Macaca mulatta: one gene and its partners. The protein of the gene in region 3 interacts with the protein of the main gene of each other region in a pairwise test. Links are inferred from orthologs where the notes say so. Each region holds a gene or a part of one and is shown on either strand. Other genes may lie near its edges.

Region 1 (6,139 bases), on a different chromosome or scaffold from region 3:
TACAGGTTTTCTAAGTGATGCAGTGTGGTTAACTGCATAGCTTACATGATTGTGTGAGGGTTAATTTCTAGGGTGTGGTTGCACTAATACCTTCAAGGTTCCCAGGGCCTGAACAGAATTTTGGCATCTTTCAATACAAAGTGGCATCTGGAATTTTAGCTCTGTGCATGTTGATATTGGGCCGCCAGTGATTTTCTGTGGGAATGCAACCTCAAAAAGGTTGCTCTGATAGGACTGGAGAGGGTTTACTGCTCATCTTGTCATTTTAACTTTTGTCATTTCCATATTTTTGAAGTCTTATAAGTCGTCCAGATTCATTAATTCAAAGGGAGTTCCTCCCTGGTAGTTGGAATGATAGGTCATTTTTTTCAAGGGCCCAAGACTGGGCTGGGATTGGGATGGCAGTATATCTAGATGAAGATGGAGATAAACAAAGCCAACAGTCCTTTGCCAGAGCTGAGCTGGTGATATTTAACAATCTTTGCATTAAATTTAAAGTTCTTAATAAATACCCAGAATTGATTAATTGCCAGAGGGGTAAAGTGAAGCTCTGTTGTAAAAGAAAGCTGATTCTACGTATCCATGATCTCAGTATCCAAAGGCTGTGTGTGACCATTATGGAACAAAAAAATACTTATTTGCTATTTTGTGCGACAGAATGGGAACTTCAGGGTGTGGATACCTATGCTGTCAGGAATGCTAGTTATAAAAATGAATTAAAACACCTCATATATTACAAAAGAAGTGATTCCATCTATTTGGACGAAAGCAATTAAACTGCAAAAATATAAAAAATGGCAACTATTATCCAGTCTACAGTAACTATGCCACAAAGACACCAAGGAAAGTTGGTAGGCATTTACCTATCTCACTTACGACAGTTCTAAAAAGTGTTTTATTTTAAGAAGGGAACATGTTAAGAAGGGCAAAATCAAAAGCATGGACAAGTGTTGGATGAGCTGATGAGGTTGTGGCAATTTACTTCGTGAATACTGTGAGATTGTGTCCTGTGCTTCGGTACTAGATGGTGAGGATTTAAAAGGTCAATGAAGTCACAGCAGACCAGCACTCAAACATATTTCTCTTCTATTTCCTATTTTTGAATAAAAATGTCAGTTTCAAGTGGGCGGTGGGAAAGGGACACGCAAAGGAGTAATTATTTGAATACATTTTTGGCGCAACGTGGGTGTCTGACGCTGAGGCTGTGCAGTGGTGACCACTGCACCCATGCGCTGGGTTTCACAGGTGCAGATCGAAGTCCATGCTCTGCTGCAGATTGACTGGGTGGCCGCCATCAACTCAAGTGACTTACTCTTCTGTGCATCGCATCTACATCTATTTGGGTTCCTCTCACAGGTATTCCTGTCTTGCTCCAGGTCACACTTCGTGGCGCGGCCCTCACGGGGAGTCAGTGGCGTGGCCCTGTGTCCCTCCCTGACCCCTGGAGGATTCCCTAAGGTCACAGTCCCCGCCTCATCCCATACTTGCCATCTCTTCAGGGCTAATGCATAACAATTGTCATAATTTACAGCAGCCCCACGCTCTGAAGAGCTTCTGGAGGGGGTACTACTCAAGCGGAGGGAGACAAGACAGGGACCTCCTCCCATCGTCCCCTCTTAACGGGCCTCTTCTGATAAGGAATATTTGTAGATGGGTGAGAAGGGCAGCGGGAGGGCGTGAAGGTAAAGACAAGTTTTTTTTTTTTCTCGTAGGAACCCAAATCTTCTGGTCTGGCTGTGTTTCCGGAGGCATTTCCAGAGGACCTAGAGAGGACCGACTTCCGGCTGCGACTTCCGCGTCTTCCGAGTTTGGAGACCTGCTGCTTCCGCCCGGAGTTGCTGTGGGCTCCAGCTGCGAGCAGCCACTTCCGCCAGGAGTCCCTAGCGGCCAGGGCGTGGAAGTGGGTCCTGAAGCGGCTTCGTCCTACTGCCCGCCGCGTGCCCAAGCGGGACCCGAAGCCCGGCGGCAGCGGCGGTCCCTGGGCCTGTGGAGAGGCGTTCTCTGTGGCCGAGTCCTGGGCCTGGGAGACGGGGCGGTGCGGGAGAGGCGCCCGGGCCTAGCCCAGCCCCAGCGCCTGTCTCCTTGCCGCTGGTGCCGGCGGCTGCAGGCCTCGCCGCGCCCGCCCAGCCTGGGGCGGGCCCAGCCTCACCGCCCGGCCCGCCCCGCCCCAAGGGCCAGCCCCGCGCCGGGTGTTTCCGCTCCTCTCCCTGCGGCGGGATAACCGCCTCGCACCTGCCGGGCTCGGTTCCCTGGCTCCGGCCGCGGGGGGAGCATGGAGTTTGCGGAGCTGATTAAGACCCCGCGGGTGGACAATGTGGTGCTGCACCGGCCTTTCTACCCGGCTGTCGAGGGCACCCTGTGCCTGACGGGCCACCACTTGATCCTGTCCTCCCGGCAGGACAACACGGAGGAGCTGTGGCTCCTTCATTCAAACATCGACGCCATCGACAAGCGGTGAGTGCCTGCCCCACCCCAGCTCCGCAGGGAGCCGGGGATCCCCTGTGGGCGCCCCGGGAAACACTTCCTGGCGTTTTCCGCGCATCCTGCCGCCCAGCTGGCCGGCAGGATGAGCCCTCTGTGGCCTAGAATCAGGATTTACCTGGCAGAAACCCGTCCAGATGGAGGATCCGGTTTCCATTAAACCTGGATGGAGTTCTCAGGGTTATCTTGTGGCTGGTATCATCCTGATGATCTGGTTCGTAACACCATTTGGGTGGATTTTCGGCATTGTCTTTATAAATTTCTTCTTCTTGCCCCATCGTATTCCTTGAATCGGTATTGTCAATCACAGTTCATGAAGTTGTGATTGGATGTGACTTAGGCAAGTGTTTACCATTTTTGAGGAAAATTCAACTGATTATAAAGTTATGAGTGCCTACATGCCTCAGAACCATTTTTTAATTTCTGAAATATGTTCAGTTTATTATGTTTCTTACCTTCTGGGTCATCAATTTCATTCTCACTAAGGGAGGTTCTGTTGTCTTCTCTTCATCTTTACTCAGTTCTGCTTGCTGAAAGAACAGGGTTGGCTCTCAAGGAAAGGCATGGACCAATTAACCTCTTTTTCATTTTTGTACTCCAGACTATCTTTCCAAGGCAGTGCCTCGAAGTCAAAAAGTTATACTTTAATCTGCAGTCAAAATTTCCATCTCCTTAGTGGCTTCTCTCTAGCCAGGAGAGGGCAAACTGATTATCCAGTTTACACGGAAATAGAAATGAATGACGACAACGTTTTCTATTGCCTCACAGGATAATTTGGATTTTAGGAAGATTCCTAGAGAGGATATGCCTTAAAATAATAATTTCTTTTTTTTTTTTTGAGACGGAATCTCACTATGTTGCCCAGGCTGGAGTACAGTGGCCAATCTCACTATGTTGTCCATGCTGGAGTGCAGTGGCAAATCCCGAGTAGCTGGGATTACAGGTGTCCGCCGGTACACCCGGCTAATTTTTGTATTTTTTAGTAGAGATGGGGTTTCACCATATTGGCCAGGCTGGTCTCGAACTCCTGACCTCGCAATCCTCCTGCCTTGCCCTCCCACAGTTCTGGGATTGCAGGCGTGAGCCACCGTGCCCGGCCTAAAATAATAATTTCTAATGGTAGAATTGCAGGAAGTTTGGGTGACGCAGCGGTAGATTGATTGATTTGAGCAGGGGGCTCTTATTAGTCTCCTCAAGTCACCTTTTGCTGTATAAAGTCTTCAGTGGGCCCGGCGCAGTGGCTCACGCCTGTAATCCCAGCACTTTGGGAGGCCGAGGCGGGCGGATCACCTGAGGTCAGGAGTTTGAGACCAGCCTGACCAACATGATGAAACCCCATCTCTGCTAAAAATACAAAAAATTAACCGGGCGTGGTGGCAGGCGCCTGTAATCCCAGCTACTCAGCTACTCAGGAGGCTGCGGTGGAAGAATCGCTTGAACCTTGAGACAGAGGTTGCAGTGAGCCGAGATCGCGCCACTGCACTCCTTCCTTTGCAACAAGAGCAAAACTCCATCTCAAAAAAAAAAAAAAGTCTTCAGTGGTCTCTCATTGAAAATCTAAACCCCTCACAGTCATTCATGGCATTCTGTGTCCCAGCCCTAGCCTACTTTCTCACTTTATTTCTTGCCATTTCTTTCAATGAGCCCTTCTTGCACTTCCTTTCATGAACCTTTTTACCAGCCAGTCCTCACCATTTACTGGTGCTGGTATATGTCCTGTATTCCGTCATCTGTGTATTTTATTGACTTCTTCCTTCTGCTGGAATGCCTTGCCTCTCCCAAGTTTGTTAAACATTTGCCAAATGCCTTTATGTTCTGGACATTTTGTGAGGCACTTAAGACACCAAGATGAATAAAATATATCACAGTTCTTGTCTTTCAGGAGTTCACATGGCAATGAGCCTGTTACCCGTCTATGAGTATTCAGTTTAACCATTTCGACCGCTACCTCCTTCACAGATTCTTCTGTTAATTCCACAACTGGAATTCATTTTTATCTCCTTCGAAACTTCTAACTGTGGCTTGGGCATATAGACACATAGGAAATAAAAGAAGGATTGACCGCTGAATGGTTCAGTGACGCCATTGAATACAAATGAGTAGTCTCTCCGTGACCATCAACTGCCTTTCCTTTCTTATTTACCTTTTATTGTGTTTACTTTTCGCTCATTCCTTTCCTCCTGTTTACCTTGCGTTTACAAGGTGCTGGGCTTTGTAGTGCATGAAGAAGAAGCAGATGAGCCATGGACCTTTGAATCTGTTGGGAGAGAATGATGAACTGTGCACACATTTATCTTTCTCCTGGGAAGCAGTGTGGTGTAGTGGAAAGAGCATAGGGGAGGCATCACATCAGAGTTTGTTCAATTGCTGCTTTCAAGAAATCTTCACATCCACCCGTTTTCCATGTGTGCTGTCTAGCTGTGCGGCTGCGGTGGTGACTAAGACAAGCTGCTTAGGTACTGGCCGGGGAGATGGACAATCAAGCAAGTCCAGGAATAAATACGTATAATGATGTCAGGTAATAAGTGCCAGGAAGGAAAATAACGGAAGATGAGAGGATAAAGAACACCGGGAGGCATTTTCTTTAGAAAGGATTTCAGAGAAGGCAGGTGACATCTGACTAGAGACTGGAATGAAACGAGGAAGCTAGAAATGTGAGTATCTGGCGGAAGAGCATTCTAGCCGGAGGGAACAGTGAGTGCAAAGACTTGAGATGGGGAACATGCTTGGCATGTGCAGGGAAGAGCAAAGAGGCCAGTGTGGCTGCAGGGCAGGAACAGAGGGTGCAGGAAGTCGATGGTAGAGATGGTGGCTGGAGGGATAAGTGTCGCCAGACCGTGGAGGGCCTGCAGGCCACAGTGGTTTTCATGGGAGACCTGGGAGAGGCAAAAGCTAGGAAGCAGTGGCTGATAGACGTTTCAGAAGACAATTATGGCTGCTGGCAGAAAGTGAACTGTACAGGGGCAAGACTGGAAGCAGCAGGCCCAGCTAGGAGAGTAGAGTAGTTCGCATAAAAGATGGTGGTAGGCTGGGTGCGGTGGCTCATGCCTGTAATCCCAGTATTTTGGGAGGCTGAGGCAGACAGATCACCCTGAGGTCAGGAGTTCAAGACCAGCCTGACCAGTATGGTGAAACCTCATCTCTACTCAAAATACATAAAATAACTGGGTGTGGTGGTGCACGCCTGTGATCCCAGCTACTCAGGAGGCTGAGGCAGGAGAATCACTTGAGCCTGGGAGGCTGAGGTTGCAGTGAACCGAGATTGTGCCACTGAACTCCAACCTGGGTGACAGGGTGAGACCCCGTCTCAGAAAAAAAAATAAAAATAAAAATAAAAAAAACAGTAGTGTAGTCACAAGGAATCTGATTTGGGATGTGTTTTTGAAAGTGGAGCTGCCTTGCCTTGCTAGTGAATTGTAAATAAGGTGAGAGAGAAAGTCATTAAGGATGACTCCTTCAGTTCTGCCTCTTTACTAGACAAGTGCCTTTGGGCAAACTACTTAACCTCCTAGAAATTTATGTTTGAATAATGCTTTACAAGTCTATGGAAAACTTTCATATACACTGCTTACATCATTTTGTTTGATCCTTTCAACATACAAGGTTGTATACAAGTTTTACAGTTATACCTGTTTTTTTTTTTTGTTTTTTTTTTTTT
Region 2 (6,249 bases), on a different chromosome or scaffold from region 3:
CGCTGGCCTCCGGAGGCGTACTGGACGCCAGCGGCGATTACCGCGTCTACAGGGGCCTGCTGAAGACCACCATGGAACCCAACGATGTGATCCTGGCCACGCACGCCAGCGTGGACAACCTGCTGCACCTGTCGGGTCTGCTGGAGCGCTGGGAGGGCCCACTGTCCGTGTCGGTGTTCGCGGCCACCAAGGAGGAGGCGCAGCTGGCCACGGTGCTGGCCTACGCGCTGAGCAGCCACTGCCCCGACATGCGCGCCAGGGTCGCCATGCACCTCGTGTGCCCCTCTCGTTACGAGGCAGCCGTGCCCGACCCCCGGGAGCCGGGGGAGTTTGCCCTGCTGCGGTCCTGCCAGGAGGTCTTTGACAAGCTAGCCAGGGTGGCCCAGCCCGGGATTAATTATGCGTTGGGCACCAATGTCTCCTACCCCAATAATCTGCTGAGGAATCTGGCTCGTGAGGGGGCCAACTATGCCCTGGTGATCGATGTGGACATGGTGCCCAGCGAGGGGCTGTGGAGAGGCCTGCGGGAAATGCTGGATCAGAGCAACCAGTGGGGCGGCACCGCGCTGGTGGTGCCTGCCTTCGAGATCCGACGAGCCCGCCGTATGCCCATGAACAAAAACGAGCTGGTGCAGCTCTACCAGGTTGGCGAGGTGCGACCCTTCTATTATGGGTTGTGCACACCCTGCCAGGCACCCACCAACTATTCCCGCTGGGTCAACCTGCCGGAAGAGAGCTTGCTGCGGCCTGCCTACGTGGTACCTTGGCAGGACCCCTGGGAGCCATTCTACGTGGCAGGAGGCAAGGTGCCCACCTTCGACGAGCGCTTTCGGCAGTACGGCTTCAACAGAATCAGCCAGGTGCTCATAAGGGAGAGGGCAGGGGTAATGGGGCAGGAGGGGTGGTGGGATCAGGGAGTTATGAGGAGTGGCCCTGGATGGAGAGGAGGCAATGAAGCAGGAGGGATCACCGTTCGGGAGGTGGGTGGATGGTGTGGAAGATTCAGGATACTTCCAGAGGGGTGAGAGCGCTGGACTGTGGCTTTAGAGAAGTCAGTCTCAGCCCTGTCAATGTCATCAAACTTTGCTGACCTGTCTTTCCTCCTACAGGCCTGCGAGCTGCATGTGGCGGGGTTTGATTTTGAGGTCCTGAACGAAGGTTTCTTGGTTCATAAGGGCTTCAAAGAAGCGTTGAAGTTCCATCCCCAAAAGGAGGCCGAAAATCAGCACAATAAGATCCTTTATCGCCAGTTCAAACAGGAGTTGAAGGCCAAGTACCCCAACTCTCCCCGACGCTGCTGAGCCCTTCCCTACCCTAGTCTGAGAAGTCAGCCTCTGGGCTCCTCAGGCCACCGTTTAGGCCTGACTGGGGTAAAAAATGTCGCTCCACTTTACAGAGGTAGCTGTGGTGTTGAAACACTGGACTTGAATATGGGGTGCTGGGATCGAGTCCTAGCTTTACCACTAACTAGCTGTGTGGCCTTGAGTAAATCCCGTTACCTCTCTGAGCCTCGGTTACCCTGTCTGTAAAAAGGGAGGTGAGAATACCTACCTCACGGAACTGTCGGGAGGCTCAGATGAGATGTTGTATGTGAAAACATTCTGTAAGCTTCGTACAAATGTGAAGTATTAATATTATCGCAGTATTATTATTGTTATTATTATTGTTATTATTAACAATCTTGGGTGGGTAGTAGGAGAGCAAAAAGTATGAATGGGATGGAGCTAAGAAGTCTGAGTACTTAATGAAATGGACTTTTTGGAAAGAAATCAGATGAAGGCATAAACTTTAGTTCTTAGCTCTTGAACAGAAGCCTAAAATTCTTGGTTCTCTCAGGCCTTCGCCCTCAAGGGCTCTAGAGGAGGGAAGACTCTGCAGGCTCCATGGGTGACAGCCTGAGATCTGTCCCTTCAACAGGCTGGGCTGGGTATGTGCCTACCGATGACAATGTGTAAATAAATGCGTGTTCACACCCACAGCTGGCTCCGTTACTCTCCTGAGCTGGGGGTGGGGTTCGGGGCCGGCTTCTCCCCTTGCACGCCATGGGGAGGTGGCAGCGGACGAAGGGCGCCGTCTGCAAAGCACTGAAACAGCAGGCCCTTTTCTGCAGGCCAAAGGCCTGCGCGAATGTCGGCCAGTTACTATGGAGACCGGCCCGCGGTATCCCAGCATGCCTCGGGACCAAACTGTCCAATTGTGAGCACCCCCGACGGTCGCCTCCTGATGACGCACACGGAAGCACCGATAGGCTCTGCCTCCCGGAGAAAAGGGAGCCGCGCAGCGCCTGCGGGAGACCGGCGCTGCTGCCGGTACCGGCAACCACGGGCACCTCTCAGGGAATATCGGTCTTGAGGCCAGAGGCCCCAGTCCCCGCGGTGCGTATCGCCATGCATGGCTTTTGGTTCGGCCTCTCCCGTTAGTCGAGCAGGGCCGGCACAATCTCCTCCTCCCAGGCCGAAGCAGAGATTTAACTGGCCTGATGCGTGCTGGGCTGCGGGCTAGCCAGCGATGTTCCGGCCCGCTCCCGCACATCTAGAAGCGAGCGGGAGGCCCCCTGGGCACCGCGGAGAAGCTGGGTTGACCTCTGCGAGAATGAGGAGGGCCTGCCTTCCCTAGGGGCGTGCCCCGGAGGAGCTGCCATTCTGAAAAGCTAAATTGCCTGTGTACAGCGCTTTACAATGTGCTTTTCCATCCCTTATACCACCGCGCTTTACAATGTCCTTTTCCATCCCTTACCACCTGCGAGCTCCTCAACACTCAGAGCAGGAATGGTTATCCGCTTTTTGCACCCGGGGTAAGATGGGAAGATTGTGACTTAACTCACTTATAATCAGAACCAGCTGGAGGAGAGAAAGGTTTCTGGAAGAGATAGATTTAAGCTGCGTCTTACAAAGTGAATATACTAACAGTGAAGAGGCATTGCAAGTGTTGGGAACTGAGGCTTGATAACGGGAAAGATGAAGCTGGTTTAGAGAACCGAGCTTTTCAAGTCAGGTGCAGATCATTAGTGAAATTGTTGAGGAATATGACTAAACGCTCACCTAGGCCAGGCTTATTATACACAACTTGAACTGGTGTCAAGGAAAGTTTGCTACCATCACAGGGACCTGGGACTACCGAAAAGTAAAAGCTAATGTCTGCCTCACAAAATTTTTTTGTTGTTGTTAAATTTGTATTTGCAAATCCTCCAGTCATCAAGTGAACCAGTACTGTGCTAGGTAAATAAGGTACGTGTGCAGCCCCTGCCCTAGTGAGGCTCATAGACTGATTGGGGGAACAGACATGAGAATAGGCAAATAGATACAAAGCTTCCTGGAGGGAGTGGCGTCTGCAGTGTACTAAAGGACTACAAGCAGTGTCCAGAGAAGTTGAAAGAACACAATAAAATAGAAGCCTGCAGGGGGCTGAGAGATTATCTGCTGAGAGGACTGTTTTCATCCTCTTAGGTGATCTCTTGGCAGTACTTGGCACTATCAGTACAATTACTACTTGGCAGTACTTGGCTTTCTTCTGAAATTCTCTTTCTCCACGACTTCGGGTTTTGCCTCCTCCTTTGTAGGGGTCTCCTCATCTGCCCCTTTGGTAACCCTGGGAGTTCCATTATGGGCGTCTTCTGATTGCACACATTCTCCCTTGCTAGTCGCACCGTCTCCTGTGGCATGAAGAACTTGCTGTATGCTGACGACCAAATCTCTGCAGCTCAGATTTCTCACTGAGACTTAGACCCATGTGCCCCCAGCTGCTTTCCTTCTCTTATTTCTGGGTCTTTGCTACTAACTCTACCTGGAATATTCCCTCAGTAAGTGCAGCTCACCCAGCTGGTCCATCTTTGGAAGCCTCCCTGCTGCATCGGGCTCCAGGTCCTGGTTATATACTCCTCCCTCATGCCCCTGGTCTTAACTCTCCTCATATCATGGTTATAGTGTGCTCCTTTGCCCCTCTCTCCCAGGAACTTGTAAACTCGGTGAGGTCAAAGACAGTCACACTTGGGGCCCCTGCATACCATAGCGTCTGACAGTACCCAGTATATGTTAGATGTTCAATACATGTTAGATGAGTCAGTAAAAGAAGGAATGCTTACCAGTGTTCAATGTTGCCGAGCAGACAATTAAAATAAGCACTGAAAAATATTGGCATTAGCCACAAGGAAGTCACTGGTTAATGCTACGGGATCAGTTTCAGCTGAGATTGATGACATTGAACGACTGGGAGGTCAAAGTAGGAACAGCCAGTGTTCATGAGACCTTGAAAAGCGTAACTGTGAAGTGGCAAACGGAGCAGTCAGGTGGAATGGGTGAAGTTTTGTGTTTCTGTGTTTTGTTAATGCTAGAAAATACCCAGGCACATCTAAAGTTTCATGGGAAGGAGGTTGCTAAGAGGGAGAAGCTGAAGACACAGAAAAGAGAGGGGAACACTGACGACCCGCGGTCCAAGAGGAGGCAGAAGGAGATGGGATTTGACCCAGAGCACAGTGAAAGACAAGGAGATTGTAGCGTTATCTGGAAGAGAAGCCGAGGGCATTATAGGCAGAAGGAACAGCTGAGGCAGAGGGCAGAAGGTGGAAGTGCAGGCACTAGCCATTATATGGTGGGATGAAGTTGCTGGACCGGTAGGTCAAGTCCAGTCTGGTAAAGACCTTGAAAGCCCCAGTTAGGAATTTAAGTCCAGTTCGGGTGTGGTGGCGGGTGCCTGTAGTCCCAGCTACTCGGGAGGCTGAGGCAAGAGAATTGCTTCAACCCGGGAGGCAGAGGTTGCAATGAGCCGAGATCGTGCCACTGCACTCCAGCCTGTCAACAGAGCGAGACTCCATCTCAAAAAGAAATTTAGGTCCAGTCCATAGGCAGTGGAGAGTGCCCCCTGGGCCTTTCCTTTATGTGGATCACAGCCTTGGCCAGTATTCCCAGGATTAGGATCACCAGTGACATCCAAGAGCAGGAGCATTTCCACAGCTCCCAGGCTTCTGTGAGAGGTGCAGACGGCCATTTGCACCCTTGTCACCCAGTATGTGCTCAAGGTGTGGCCAGGCCAGTCACTTCCCTGGCTTTCCCCATCTGGGATCAGGTTGGGTTCAGCTTCCTGCTGCCTCTTTCCCCCTCTGAGCTGTGGGCAGCCATAAGTGACAGCTCCATTCCTTCTCCCAGAGTCCGGATGCCCATCCAGCCTCCAAGCAAAGACACAGAAGAGATGGAAGCAGAGGGTGATTCCGCCACTGAGATGAATGGGGAGGAGGAAGAGAGTGAGGAGGAGCGGAGCGGCAGCCAGACAGAGTCAGAAGAGGAGAGCTCCGGTGAGCCCCTACACAAACACACACACACACACAGCCCCCACGCACAAGCATGCACATACATGCACATACAGCCCCTAGACACAAGCATACTCACACACAGCCTCTGCCACAAGCACACACACACAGCTTCTACACACAAGCATGCACATGCACACACAGCCCCTTCACACAAGCACCTACACACAGCCCCTGCACACAAGCACATGCACACGCACACACAGCCCCTACACACAAGCACATGCACATGCACACACAGCCCCTACACACAAGCACGCACGCACACACACAGCTTCTACACACAAGCATGCACACATACAGAGCCTCTACACACAAGCACGCACACACACAGAGCCTCTACACACAAGCACGCACACACACACAGCCCCTTCACACAAGCACGCATGCGCACACACACAGCCTCTACACACGAGCACCCACACACACACACAGCCTCTACACACGAGCACACACGCACACAGCCCCTTCACACGAGCATGCACACACACACACATAGCCCCTACACACGAGCACACATGCACACACACAGCCCCTACACACGAGCACACGTGCACACACACACAGCCCCTACACACAAGCACGCATACACACACACAGCCCCTACACACGAGCACACATGCACACACAGCCCCTACACACGAGCACACATGCACACACAGCCCCTACACACGAGCACACATGCACACACAGCCCCTACACACGAGCACACATGCACACACAGCCCCTACACACGAGCACACATGCACACACAGCCCCTACACACGAGCACGCATGCACACACACAGCCCCTACACACAAGCACGTGCGCACACACAGCCCCTACACACAAGCACACACACACACACACACAGCCCCTACACACAAGCATGCATACAAACACACAGCCCCTTCACACAAGGACGCATGCACACACACACACATGAAGGACGCACATGCACATATGT
Region 3 (6,200 bases):
TTTTGTATATTTTATGCCCCAGACCCAGAATCAGCCATTGCTCCAATGAGCCCTGGTTTCTTATATTGAAGAATATTATTAGAAACCAAGATCTGGGTGTTATGCGACTCTCCTCTTTTTTTTTTTTTTTTTTTTTTTGACACTCTTCTAACTAAACTGAGACATGGCTAAGTATTTGCTAGTCTTCTATTTTATTTTTAAGGAGGAATAGATGTCTTTTATTTCTCTTTCAAGAATATTGAGAATTTAGCCACTTGAAATCTTGGAAAATTATATTGCAGACTGTTTATTAATGTGTATCTAAAAACATAGAATCATGATATCCTTTGTCCCATTTTTGATCTGGGAGTTTTTCATCTCAGTAATTTCATATGTAGGCAAGAGTTCTTAAATTTTTTGTACCATGGATTCCTTTGCCAGCTTGGCAAATCCTATGGGCCTTTCTCCAAAAAAAAAAAAAAAAAAAAAAAAAAAAATTTGGTGGGGGCAGGCATGGTGGCCTATCCCAGCATTTTGGGAGTCCAAGGGGGGCGGATTGTTTGAGCCCAGAAGTTCGAGACCAGTCTAGGCAACTTGGTGAAAACCCATCTCTACAAAAAATACAAAAATTAGCTGGGCATGGTGGCGCACACCTGTAGTCCCAACTACTTGGGGGACTGAGGTGGGAGGATCACTTGAGCTTGGGATGTTGAGGCTGCAGTGAGCGTGTTCGTGCCCTACTGCACTCCAGCCTGGGCAACAAAGTGAGACCCTATCTAAAAAAAAAAAAAAACAAAACATTAAATGCATAAAATAAAATACTTAGAATTACAAAGGAAATCAATTGTATTGAAATATGGCTGGGATTATGGGCACCTGCCACCACGCCCAGTTAATTCTTTTTTGTATTTTTAGTAGAGATGGGGTTTCACCATGTTGGTCAGGCTGGTCTCAAACTCTTGACCTCATGATCCACCTGCTTTGGCATCCCAAAGTGCTGGGATTACAGCCGTGAACCACTGCGCCTGGCCAGAAATCAATTGTATTAAAATATGGTTATCAGACTATTTTAAAAGCAAATGTTTGATATAGTGATATATATCAATGTATTACAATGTATTACAAGACCTAGTGTTGAGCTTAGTAACTAATGTAGAAGCAACGTTAGACACAAACTATTTTAGCATATCTGCAACAATATTCTATGAAACTGTGCTTTCTACTGGTGACTATCACAGGTGCTGTGAATACTACTATAGTTTGTTACAATATTCATAATTGAAGAGAATGCTAAGCTTCAATTAGAGGTTATTAGAAATAAACATGTAATTTCTTCCCAATCCATGTTTATGGACCCAGCGGGAGAGTTAGTGAAAGCTCCAGGTAAGAACACCTGTGTAGAGAAAGCATATGTTGGAGGCCTCTTGACTTTGACTTTGTTTATATTTGGGGAGAACAATAGGGAGAATTAAATATTTTAATCAAAACCTTTGAAAAATGTTGGAAAACCAAAATAGTATTCTTTTAAAATGGAGCATGATATTATGATTGGAATATGAACTACAAAGGAACATTAATGTTCATTAGTTTCTGTATATTATTTTGTTGAAAAGCAAAGGATTTTTAGAATCTTTTTACATATTATAGATGTGAAAGTTATTTGAAATAGTGGCCAGGCGTGGTGGTGACTCACACCTGTAATCCCAACACTTTGGGAGGCTGAGGGGGGCGCATCACTTGAAGACAAGAGTTCAAGACCAGCCTGACAAACATGGTGAAACCCCATCTCTACTAAAAATACAAAAATTAGCTGGGCATGGTGGCAGGTAGCTGTAATCCCAGCTACTTGGGAGGCTGAGGCAGGAGAATCTCTTGAACCTGGGAGGCAGAGATTGCAGTGAGCCGAGATCAGACTATTGCCTTCCAGCCTGAGCGACAGAGTGAGACTCTGTCTCAAAAAAAAAAAAAAAAAAAAAAAGGAGTTATTGAAATACAGACTTTGTTTGGATATAAGCCATATGAGAATAAAGCCTTTGATGATAGGAAAAAAGATATAGCAAAGAAGAGAGATGTTTCTTCCATAAAAGGGTAAAAGTTGTTATTTCTTTGTTCTGAAATTTGTGTATATATGCTATGCTTACAATATTTATTTTTTATAATGTTAGGGAATCATGGAAGCTGATAAAGACAACACACAACAAGTTCTTAAGGAGCATGGGCCACATGAATTTATAAAAGATGAACAAAATAAGGTAAAAAGGAAATTACTGGGTATTATTAAAAATTAATTTATATCTATTAGTTTTGCAGTAAGGCATGTTTTGTATGTCTTTGTCCAACATTACCTTGAATTTGGGAGGCTGTTAGGCTTTAAAAAATTTTTTAACTTCCATTATGTTATTTAAGTCTTACAAGAAGTGTCGTATTTTTATTCTTTCTCATATAAGGCTTACAACACTAGCTGCTTTCTCACTCACACCCTCATTTCTTGGATTTGCATCAACAAGTTAAGAGCACAGTTAGCAAGTATCTCATTAGACCCCAAGAGGGAACAGAGGCCAGGTAGATTAAACTACTTCCCCAAGGTCATATGTCTGGCTTGTTAAGGCAGCTGTGTACTATGGGATACTATGGGAATCACAGATAATTAAAAACACCACCACCACCACCAACAACAACAAACTGCCCCAGAATATGTCCGCTATTACAGTGCAATTTAAAAGTCTTATCATGGTCACAAATAGCTAAGAAAGGAGTTGATGCAGCACTGAAGTAATATTCAGAAGATCTGATCTCAATCTTTGCCTTACTATACAAATTTCTGTGACTTTGGCCTAGTGTAAAAGGTGGTTTCCTGATTTATATGATGGAGATAGTACTAGTTGGCAATGTTAGAATGGACAGGTGATGATGTAAAATATTCAACAAATGCATTATGCACATAGTCATATTTATTCTGAGACTGTCTAATGTCTTTCTTTGCTCAGGATGAGAGAAATTTATAGTCTTTAGTTCATTCAGAAAAATGAGTTTGGGGCTATTTACTTTCTTTGGTACCGTTTGATATTTTTAAGGAACTAATTGATGAAATGACAAAGGAAAATATTCAACTAAAGAAGGAGATCCAAAAGCTCGAAACGGAGTTACAAGAGGCTACCAGAGAATTCCAGGTACTCTCTTAATTATTTTATACACTACATTTTTGATGGACGCATGGTTTTTGGAAAAAGCATTTTAATTATATAAAATTCATTTTTAAAACCTTATCATCCATGGCACCACCATTTGTAATAGTTCAAAATGGAAAACAACCCAATGATTCCTTCATAATAGATGAGTTAGTGAAGTGGGGTATAGTCATATGATAGAAAACTACACAGCAATGAGAATGAACAGATCATAACGACATGCAGCAACACAAATGAGTTTCATAAACACAATGTTAACACAAAAAAGACAGATGAGGGCGTACCATATGCTTCCCTTTAAATTAAGCAAAAGCAGGATGTTCGAAGTTAAAACAGTGGTTACTTTTGGAAGCAGGTAAGACCCGGAAGGGGACCCAAGGGAGTTTCTGGAGTGTTGTCATGTTCTGCCTGTCATCTGTGTGCCAATCACATATGTGTTAGCTTTGTAAAATTGCATCTTGCTGTACTTATGATACATGCATTTTTCTATTATTTATACACTTTAATAAATTTACCAAAGCAAACATTAATAAAATTTACCAAAAAAAGATGATCATTAGCAAATCACTGTTGGATCAAATTCTGGCTTTTCTCACTGAGTTCTTTTATTATTATTCTCATCCAAGGTGCTTTGCTAATTTAAATGAGTTTCACAGTTTAAAAAATTGGACATATATTAATCCTCACTATTTAAATTCTCTCCTAAATTTTCCTGTATTTTAAATATACATAATTTTCACCCATTTTTTTTCTTAACAACTCAGATTGTTAAAAAATTAAAGCATTCAGGCTGGGCGTGGTGGCTCATGTCTATAATCCCAGCACTTTGGGAGGCTGAGGCGAGTGGATCATGGGGTCAGGAGTTCAAGACCAGCCTGACCAAGATGGTGAAACCCCGTCTCTACCAAAAATACAAAAAAAAAAAAAAAAAAATTAGCCGGGCATGGTGGCGGGTGCCTGTATCCCAGCTACTTGGGAGGCTGAGGCAGAGAATTGCTTGAACCTGGGAGGCGGAGGTTGCCGTGAGTTGAGATTGCGCCACTGTGCTCCAGCCTGGGTGACAGAGCGAGACTCCGCCTAAAAAAAAAAAAAAAAAATTAAAACATTGACTCTTTTTGTTTCTGAAGTGGGAGATAGGACATTGAATATCAGGAAGTGAGGTTTTCTGTGTTTATGAGATGGGTGACTTTGCAGAAGACTCTGTTAAGATTCTGGTTACTTCTCAGACTGGAGCTAGAATCATGCAGTCTTACAACCCAGAGAGCCTTTAGAAACCAGCCAGCCTTAGTCCACCCACTTTGCAGGGGACCGAACCCATGATCAGAGAGCTGAAGTGAATTTGCTCTGTCACAGTGTGGTCAGAAATAGAATCAAGCTTTCTCACTCTAATTTCAGAAAGGCCTTGGTTCCTCAGCATATACTGGGTATTTCTGCATTATTGGGTAACAGTCTGCCTTTTCTCAGACATTGTAGATTGTTTTGATGTCAGCCTTACCGTAATCAGAAGTTCCACTGGAGTTATGTGTACAGGCAAAGAATAAATGTAAGATTAAATCGAATGACTCACTGAATATTTCTCATCTCTGTCATTTTCAGCATGTAAAATAACCATGGGAAATAGAAATGCAAGCACCTAGCTCATTTGTGCTTTTATGTGTGGTTATACAAATCTGTTAATCCCAATAATTCTAAGCGGCTAAGTGTAACGACCTACCTTTATCTTTCAGGTTACAATTTTTTTGTTTGTTTGTTTGTTTGTTTGTTTGTTTTTGAGACAGAGTTTTGTTCTTGTTGCTCAGGCTGGAGTGCAATGGTGCGATCTCAGTTCACTACAACATCTGCCTCCCTGGTTCAAGCGATTCTCCTGCCTCAGCCTCCTGAATAGCCGGGATTACAGGCGGTTGCCACCACGCCTAGCTAACTTTTGTATTTTATTAGAGACGGGTTTTACCATGTTGGCCAGGCTGGTCTCCAACTCCTGACCTCAGGTGATCTGCCTGCTTCGGCCTCCCAAAGTGCTGGGATTACGAGTGTGAGCCACCTGCCCAGCCTCAGCTTACAATTTTTGTTGATACTGTCCCTTCTCGTTTTTTATGAACCTAAGTTGTGGTAATGGTTAAAAAGTTGATGGGCAGGTGTTGGGGAAGGTGGAATTTGTAAATTTGATAAATTTAACATCATCTAATTCTAGGCCAGGTGTGGTGGCTCACGCCTGTAATCCCAGAACTTTGGGAGGCCAAGGCAGGTGGATCATGAGGTGAAGAGATTGAGACCATCCTGGCCAACATGGTGAAACCCTGTCTTTACTGAAAATACAAAATACGAAAATTAGCTGGGTGTGGTAGCGCATGCCTGTAGTTCCAGCTACTTGGGAGACTGAGGCAGGAAAATTGCTTGAACCAGGGAGATGGAGGTTGCAGTGAACCGAGATCACACCACTGTACTCCAGCCTGGCAACAGAGTGAGACTTTGTCTCTAAATAAATAAATAAATAAAGTTACCTAATTCTGGAGTCTTTCTTTTTGGATGAAATTATCTGGATTTGAAATACCATATTATACCCAACACTATATTTCATACTTTGCAGCAAAATTAAACATGCTATCTAATGACTTCCTTTTGAGATAGTCTGTTATTGACACTTGTTTAAAAATTCCTTATTTACATGAATGATGTAGGCTTTAGAATTGAACACCGTACAATATTGACAGTTTAAACATTGATTAGAAAAAAGTGAGAGGATTATGTATTTTTAATTTCATCTGTGAAATGATATTAAAAGATCAGCATTTGATTACTTTACTGAGTACTTACATGGGAAAAAGCAATTACTAAAGATGTTAAGTAAGACCATACTCAATATTCTATAAGGTTCTAAAATCAGTGGGGAATGAATTATTGGTTGACCAAATTACATTATCATTGGAAGAACTTAAGTTATTTCTTGTCTTGATTTTAATCAAACATTTTCATTTGGATTAGATTAAAGAGGATATTCCTGAAACAAAGATGAAATTCTTATCAGTTGAAACT

What was found.
Region 1: the proteins of NMI (region 3) and MTMR9 interact in binary tests that used the Homo sapiens proteins (3 or more experiments, as listed by UniProt). The two-hybrid records come from large-scale screens. The link is inferred for Macaca mulatta from reciprocal best matches to the Homo sapiens genes NMI and MTMR9.
Region 2: the proteins of NMI (region 3) and BRMS1 interact in binary tests that used the Homo sapiens proteins (3 or more experiments, as listed by UniProt). The link is inferred for Macaca mulatta from reciprocal best matches to the Homo sapiens genes NMI and BRMS1.

Annotation. Positions count from the first base shown.
Region 1 is NC_133413.1:10,001,534-10,007,672, reverse strand, and holds the start of MTMR9 (myotubularin-related protein 9), read left to right. Parts: upstream 1-2,176; 5' UTR 2,177-2,272; coding exon 2,273-2,454; intron 2,455-6,139. UniProt on the Homo sapiens protein: Acts as an adapter for myotubularin-related phosphatases. Increases lipid phosphatase MTMR6 catalytic activity, specifically towards phosphatidylinositol 3,5-bisphosphate and MTMR6 binding affinity for phosphorylated phosphatidylinositols.
Region 2 is NC_133419.1:8,077,834-8,084,082, forward strand, and holds the start of BRMS1 (breast cancer metastasis-suppressor 1), read left to right. Parts: upstream 1-2,286; 5' UTR 2,287-2,375; intron 2,376-5,141; 5' UTR 5,142-5,148; coding exon 5,149-5,287; intron 5,288-6,249. Other genes in the region: B4GAT1 (beta-1,4-glucuronyltransferase 1), read left to right, coding at 1-860, 1,110-1,301. UniProt on the Homo sapiens protein: Transcriptional repressor. Down-regulates transcription activation by NF-kappa-B by promoting the deacetylation of RELA at 'Lys-310'. Promotes HDAC1 binding to promoter regions.
Region 3 is NC_133417.1:56,240,212-56,246,411, reverse strand, and holds the start of NMI (N-myc-interactor), read left to right. Parts: upstream 1-2,143; 5' UTR 2,144-2,150; coding exon 2,151-2,231; intron 2,232-3,053; coding exon 3,054-3,149; intron 3,150-6,149; coding exon 6,150-6,200. UniProt on the Homo sapiens protein: Acts as a signaling pathway regulator involved in innate immune system response.